2 linked regions of the Ovis aries genome follow. The protein of the gene in region 1 interacts with the protein of each later gene in a pairwise test. Links are inferred from orthologs where the notes say so. Each region holds a gene or a part of one and is shown in the gene's direction. Other genes may lie near its edges.

The links.
Region 2: the proteins of CEP72 (region 1) and PIN4 interact in binary tests that used the Homo sapiens proteins (3 or more experiments, as listed by UniProt). The two-hybrid records come from large-scale screens. The link is inferred for Ovis aries from reciprocal best matches to the Homo sapiens genes CEP72 and PIN4.

What each region holds. Positions count from the first base shown.
Region 1 is NC_056069.1:71,549,346-71,552,987, reverse strand, and holds part of CEP72 (centrosomal protein of 72 kDa), read left to right. Parts: intron 1-1,697; coding exon 1,698-1,972; intron 1,973-3,642. UniProt on the Homo sapiens protein: Involved in the recruitment of key centrosomal proteins to the centrosome.
Region 2 is NC_056080.1:64,767,029-64,771,196, forward strand, and holds the start of PIN4 (peptidyl-prolyl cis-trans isomerase NIMA-interacting 4), read left to right. Parts: upstream 1-1,288; 5' UTR 1,289-1,341; coding exon 1,342-1,384; intron 1,385-3,836; coding exon 3,837-3,910; intron 3,911-4,091; exon of another isoform or gene 4,092-4,168.

The sequences.
Region 1 (3,642 bases):
TTTGTTATAGGGGACTGGAATGCAAAAGTAGGAAGTCAAGAAATACCTGGAGTAACAGGTAAATTTGGCCTTGGAATGCGGAATGAAGCAGGGCAAAGGCTAATAGAATTTTGCCAAGAGAACACATAGCAAACCCCCTTTTCCAACAACAGAAGAGAGGTCTACACATGGACACCACCAGATGGTCAACACCGAAATCAGATTGCAGCCAAAGATGGAGAAGTTCCATACAGTCAGCAAAAACAAGACTGGGAGCTGACTGTGGCTCAGATCATGAACTCCTTATTGCCAAAATCAGACCTAAATTGAATAAAGTAGGGAAAACCACTAGACCATTCAGGTATGACCCATAAAGAAGGCAGAGTGCCAAAGAATTGATGCCTTTGAATGATGTTGCTGGAGAAGACCCTGGAGAGTCCCTTGGACTGCATGGAGATCAAACCAGTCCATCCTAAAGGAAATCAACCCTAAATATTAATTGGAAGAACTGATGCTGAAGCTGAAGCTCCAATACTTTGGCCACATGATGATGTGAAGAACTGACTCATTGGAGATGACCCTGATGCTGGGAATATTGAAGACACAAGGAGAAGGGGGCAGCAGAGGATGAGATGGTTAGATAGCCTCACTGACTCAATGGACGTGAATTTGAGCAACGTCTGGGAGATTGCTCTGGAGGACAGAAGAACCTGGCATGCTGCGATCCTTTGGGTCACAGAGAGTCAGACACAACTTTGCAACTGAACGACACCAAGACGAGGGAAACTAAACAAGTTAATTGAGAGTGTTGTTTGCATGAACGTGGAAAAGGCATCAGAAACCTCCCGAGTGAGAGCAAACCTGGTCCCTTCCTGAGTTTCATCCAGGTGAGCTCGTGGGGACCTTGGAGGCAGCGCGGGTCGTGGCGGTGCCTGCCTAGCGCCCGTGGCCCGCAGTCACGGCCTCTCGCTTCATGTGCTTTGTGTCGTGAGATCTCACGTGTGTCCCTTCACACGGATTCACGTGGGGGTGCATGTGTGCGTGTTCTGGTCCAGGTCCATCCAGCGCACGTGGAGTATCTTAATGTCACGTCTCAGATGCTTGTGAGCAGGAACACGTTCTCAGTTTCCATAGTCTGTCCTGGAGCTTTGAAGTGTTCAGACTGGACTTCTGTGGGGTCACCCTCAGTCCCAGGCGGCTTGCTCTGCTGGCTCCTGGTGGCCAGACACGCTGGGGTGTAGTGGGGCATAGTGGGGCGCGGTGGGGCGTGAGCTCGTGCAGAAGCCCCAGGCTGCTGCAGGTCAGGGGGAAGTGGGGCCGTGTCACATAGTGGGCCGAGCAGCATGGAGAGTGACTGGTGTGCCTTTGGGTTGTGGAAGGCGGGGGCTGGGTCCCTCTGAGTGTGAGTCAGACCAGTCCTGGCAAGGGGGTGGTGGTGGCCCGCTGACACTGGTCAGGTGGACTTGGTGACGGACGTGGAGCCGGGGGGCCTTGATGTCCAGGTGGTCTCTGACCCAGGCGGCCAGAGAGCAGTGGCCCGTCCGCTCACAGAGCCAGTTGGCCCAGTCTGTTACACAGAGCTTTGGCAGGAAGACACAGTGATTGGCCAGTTTGCCACTTGCCGGTTAGTTTCCCGTATTTGTGCGCACACAGCTGCAGCACTGGTCCCTGAGCCCCGGGAGCCCGTGGTGAGGGCTCTGCCCGCTTCTCTGTTACAGACTCCACGGAGACCGAGGACTCAGGCGCGTCTTCTCAGAAGTCCAGTGTGTTGACACAAAAGATGTTAAACGCCTTACCTGCTCCTGAGAAGTACAGGAAGCGGAGGATGCCTGGCGGGAGGTTCCAGGCACCTGCAGAGGAGGCCTGTCTCAGCTCTCTGGAGGGGAGCCTGAGTGTGAGCCGGAGGAGCGGTTCGGAGGCCTGGGGCCAGGCCGCCTCTTCCCTCTCGGCCACCCCAGGGCCCGAGCAGCCAAGACCACCCAGCGCCAGCGAGGTGAGCAGGGCTGAGGGTGCTCGCCGAGCCCCCAGGGTGGATGCTGCCCTCACGTGCCCGTCTCCGTGGCGCGGTCACGGCTGCCGTTAGAAAATGCCCTTCTGGGCTGCCTTCTGGGGCGGGGTGCCTTGAGGTGTCGTCTCGGGCCTGCTGCCCACACGGCCGCTGGTCCCGCGGTTGGTGCTCCCCCGGGGCTGTCGTGACCGCAGTCCCAGCTGTGTGTGCTGTGCCTCCCCTGGTTCAGGAGAGGAGGTTCTCCCCAGATTGTCCCACAGCGGTTGTAGACTGTGCCTCGCTGCCATTGTTATGGCCGAGTTGGAGACTGAGACGTTCTCAAAGGTTTGGGGCTCAAGTGAAGACCAGCGTGCAGACATAGGGCAGCGGGCAGCCCTGCCGCAGCGCCCCGCGTGGGCAGAGGAGGGGAGAGCACCCCAGCTGAGAGGGCCTGGGGGGGCGCTGAGCCCCTGTGGTTGGTCCTGAATGGAGACCAGCAGAACCAGGGACGCTGCGCTCGTAGGTGCTGGGTGGTTCGTGGCTGCCGCAGGCCACGGGCCGGGGTCTGCTCCCACGGCTGGTCTGGCTGCATCTTCCGTCTCTCACTGGGCTGAGGGAAGGAGTGAAAATGGAGATTCGCTTGAGTCAGGACTGCTGGGGCTTTCCTGTCCCCGAATGGAGCCGCCCCCATGGACCCCACTCACTGTGGGGTTGGGACTTTGCACAAGGGGGTGCTGCCTGCAGCTCCCCTCCTTCCAGCACTGTGACCCCAGGTGGTTGTCTTGGAGAGGGCTTGACCCCGGTTCCTCAAGTGGGAGGCAGAAGCCTGACCCCACTGGGCTCTTTTCCTGCGCCTGACGCCGCGTCGGTGCAGCTTCTGACAGAAGTGTTGGTGCGGTGCTCCTGGATGCTCTCACCCTCTGCTGCTTGTGGCCAGCTGTTGGCCTCAGTGTGCGCACGTCGACCAGCCCCAGGGGACAGCTGCCCCGGCCCGATGACCCCTCGTGGGCCTGTGCCTTCCCGAGCCCTGGGTTCCCGCGGGTGGGGAGTGGCGGGAGTGAGGGGCCCAGTGGCTCCTGCACCCCCTTCTGGGTCTGGCTGGCTGTCCCAAGATGCTCTTTGGGAGGAAACTTTTGCTTTCTCTAACAGTGAGGGCACCAGGCCTCATCCCAGCTCTGGCCTTGCTGGTATTGACTCGCTAAATCCCTGCTTCTCAGGAAATGTTCCCTGGACACTCAGAAAGTGAGCCGGCGGGTAGGAGCCAGCTCCCTTTCTGCAGTAATCCCTTAAAACTGATGAAATGATTTCTAAAGGGAAGAAAAGTGAGCTCTGATGGAAATGCCTGTGGCTGTGGGCCCAGCGTGGCTGGGGCCGGGTGGGGCCACGAGGCTCTGCCCGGCAGCTTGTTGCTGCACCAGCCCAGCCAGCCCTCCCTCTGGTCCTGTGTGCACTGGTCTACTCCAGGCCACCAGGCTCCAGTGAGCGTTCGGGCCGAGACTGTTTCCTCCCCACCCCACAAGAGTGGCTGGGGCTGGTCAGGAGGGCCCAGCCTGACCAGCCTCTGACTGACACAGGCCACAACTCAGCCGTTCCTCCCGCTGAGGGATGGTTTCCCCGCCCCCCAGACATGGACAGGCATGCAGGGGCAGGGAGGCGAGTCCCACGCACCGTGCCTG
Region 2 (4,168 bases), on another chromosome or scaffold:
CTCAATTCAAAAACTAAGCTCTGAGCTGGAGGACCATTCTGGCTGGCATGGGCAAGCTGAGAGAGCTATCGCATGAAGTGGAGGAAAAGCCCTGATCTTACAAAAGTCGGGAGAAGAGGGGTTGTGGATAAGGGTAAAAAGTTTGAGGATGTAAATTCAAAACTCATTCACCTTAAGCTAACACTCCACAAGCAAGTCATTGTTTTATGTGCTTTACAAACTTGTTTAATTCTCTTTACATCCTATAAAGTCAAGTCAAGTCAAGTTGCTCAGTTGTGTCCGACACGACCTCATGGACCGTAGCCTACCAGGCTCCTCCCAGTACTGGAGTGGGTTGCCATTTCCTTCTCCAGGGGATCTTCCCAACCCAGGGATCGAACCCAGGTCTCCCGCATTCCAGGCAGACGGTTTAACCTCTCAGCCACCAGGGAAGCTTACATTTCCTTCTCCAGGAAGGAACCTGGACCCAGGGATTGAACCTGTGTCTCCTACATTGCAGGCAGATTCTTAACCATTTTGAGCCACCAGGGAAGCTGCACAGGTACTAACTACAGCAAATATTTAACAGTAGTAGTGTTAGTCGCTGGAGAAGGACATGGCAACCCACTCGTGTTCTTGCCTGGAGAATCCCAGGGACAGAGGAGCCTGGTAGGAGGCCGTCTATGGGGTCGCACAGAGTCGGACACGACTGAAGCGACTTAGCAGCAGCAGCAGCAGTGTTAGTCGCTCAGTTGTGTCCGCCTCTGCCCATCATTTTCTCCTTTGAACTACTTGAGGCACTGCTTTGGGCAAATTCAGCCACTTATACAGCCTCGCTACAAGCTGTAAAATAACTAAAAGCGAAAACCTAAAACGAAGGGCAGGCCGGTGTGTATGAGTGCGCGAAAGGGGTAGGCGGCCGCCGAGGTTCTTCCGGCTATGCCTTTGTCTAATTGCCCCGCGTGATTGGCTGGAACCCCGCGCCGAGGGACTGCAGAGGCGCCCCCCAACCCCCACCCCTCCGGCTTCCGTTACGCACGCGTGGAGGAAGCGGGTAGGGCAGTCGGGGAAAGGGCGCAAAGAAGGGCGTGTGAAAGAAGCCGCAAAAAGCACAGAGGCGTAACTCCCCCCGCCCCGCCCAACCTTTGCCTCCGCCCCTCTGCCCCGGTCCGAGCTTCAGCCCCATTGGCCCAAGAGTCAAAGGACCGGGCCTGCCCCAAGATATGCCTGCTTCCGGAGCCACGGTAAGGATGGCCAATTGCGATGCCGCTTTCTGGCATATGTTTAGGACACACCGGTGGGGCCTGAAGGGGGTTTGTGCGGCAACCTAAGCAGTTGAGAGTTCAACGGCAGATTTTGGAAATGCCCCCGAAAGGAAAAAGCGGTTCTGGAAAAGGGGGAAAAGGTAGAAACCAAGAAGAAATGGGGTTGGGTGAGGAGCAAGGCGGAGGGAGCAGACCGCCGGGGTCCGGGGCGGAGGCAGCGGGTTGCCAGTGACTAGAGGACTGACCAGGAAGTGATGTTAGAAACAATCAATACAGACTTCAGTTTTTATTTAAAAGCATGGGGATTAGATGGTGGATAGAAGAGGAGAAAGGATTACAAGAAAGTTTGATTTTGTTAGTTTCTTCCGAATGGGCAAAACTTGGGAGTGAGGCTGTCATGAAGGATCCATTAGTTAGGTAAAGCTACAGGGTAGTGAAATTTGGGAAAAAAGAGGTAGAGCAGTTAGTTGACTTTGAGAAGAAGGGACATCTTAAGCTTGACGTCACAGAGATGAAGATGGATGTGGTGATAAAAAGTGGAAGGCAAGAGTAGTTTTTAAAACAGCAGGGCAAGTACTGAGTAGGGGTCTTGAGGACAGTGTTAAGCGTTTGGAATAGTCATTGGGGTGGTAAGAGGGGATGAAACACTTAAAAAAGGATTGCCCTTAGGGCTGAGAGCTTAAGATTGAAGGCTATGAATTTCTGTAGGACACAATCTGCTCAGTCATGATTTACCTAGTACCATATAACTGGCACAATACAGGATTGAGACGAGCTAAGTATAACCTGTAGCCAAGGTTGAGGTTTTGTTGGACAATGATAATAGAAGAAAAGCAACACAAGGGAATTACGAATGCCACTAGGGACACGGTTCAGATGATCAAGCATGGGATCCAGACTGGGAAGGGAAGAAGTTTGATAGCATAGGAGAACATAGGAGGATAAAGGAACTGAATGGGGGGAAGGAGGAGGTGTTTCTGTGACATTAAAGAACCTGTGTTGTGGGAGTGAGGCATGAGAAGGCTGGAAGAACAGAAAGTTGTAGCCAGAGATTGAATTAGTTGTGAGTGGCACAGTTTGATCACATGCCCCTGGGAACAGGTGGCCTGGAGTAAAAGGCATGGGTATTTGGGAGGGAGGTCTAGAAATGTGAGGTTAGGCTGTTGGATGGTTCCTCTGAATAGATAGTGAAGTCACCCAAGATTAGGGCAGTAGTGAGGATGGAAAGGAAGCCTGAAGTTGCTGCCAGAGTTCTCAGTCAGAGGGAGTGAAGGGGCATTCAGAAGATGATAGCATCCATTGGGGCAGGGGGTGGGATGACCAGAAGGCATCTTTGTTCTAGAGAAAATAAGTTTAGTGTAATAAAACTCCTTTGGCAGTAACATTTTCTTAGGCATTTGGTGGTTGGCATTTTGGATATTCAGTTTTGTGGAACATTTATTGAACAACTTTTGGGTGCTCGGCATTGGGGTTCCTAAGACAGGATGGAGTCTCCTGAATAAAATTTTAATGCGTCCCTATTACTTCTAGGATAAATTCCAAGTTCCTTAATGGGGCTCAAAGGCCCTCATGCCCTAACCCTCAGCCACCTCCCCTGGGTTCCTCTCACAGCACTCCCACTTCAGATTTGGCTTCGTCCCTAGTTTCCCCCCACATACTACACTGTTCCCCTACCCTGGAATTCTCCTCACCATTGTCCTGTCTTTGCCTGTTCAGCTCCTACTCATCCAGGAAACCTTCTTTAACTGGCTAAAATGTACCTCTGTGCTTCCACAGCCCCCTATTTATACAGCATAGCTCATCCTCCTGAAATGATCTTTTACATGATTTTACATAACGATATTCCCGAGTAGTATATGAGCCCCCTGAAGGAATGTATTATGCCATTTGGGCTTGTTCATCTTTGTATCTCCAGTGTCTGGAACTTAGTTACTTAGGAAATGTTTATGAACTGAACACTTAAACCAACAATAGTTCTTAGGAACATCAGCCTCTAACAGTAAATATGCTGCCATCAAAACAGAAACTGGCATAGTAGCAAAATGACACAGTAATAAAATGTAAAATACTGCCCATTGTGTTAATCTGAATATTGATAACTTCTTAGGAAGGTTATCAGTAGGCAATGTCATTGACTCCAGGAGTTTGGACATGAATGTATTCTTTACCCAAATATGGGTGGTAGGAAATTTGATCTTTATTTAAAATATATTCTTGGACATTTTACCTCCTATAATTGTGAGTATCCAAGTACATAGCTGCCGTGCTTATTAGAAATCTCACAAGAGCTCCAGGGTTTGCTCTTAGAAGGCAGGATTTCAAACTGGGTCTAGAGAAATCAGGCCAGGTTTTTGGTGCTCCCATTCAACTATTAGCACACTCACTTGTGTATCCATTTTCCATGAAGGGTTTTTGTAAGGCACAAATTTCTTGTTTTAAGAGGTATGTTACAGGTTAATTTCGCTTGATGTAAAGTGTCTGCAGAGTTCCCTTTTGAAGCTTGGTGCTGTGATGGAAGTATCAACTCCTATTGTGTTGAATAATAAGGTGAAAGTGTAGTTTAAATGAGTACTTGTCATCTCTTCTCTAAAGGAAAAGCAGCCTCTGGGAGTGAGAGTTCTGAGAAGAAGGCTCAGGGTCCCAAAGGTGGTGGCAATGCAGTAAAGGTGAGTTACTCTGCTCTTTTCTTTTTTTTTTTTTTTTCATTTTAAATATAAATAACATATACATCTGTTATTTTGGTACACATAAAAGGAAAAGACAGCATGCTTAACTCATCCTAAGGCTAGCCTAATACTGACAGAAGATCAAGATAACACAAAAGTGATGCTCCCTTCGGCAGCACATGTGCTCCCTTCGGCAGCACATATACTAAAATTGGAACGATACAGAGATTAGCATGGCCCCTGCGCAAGGATGACACA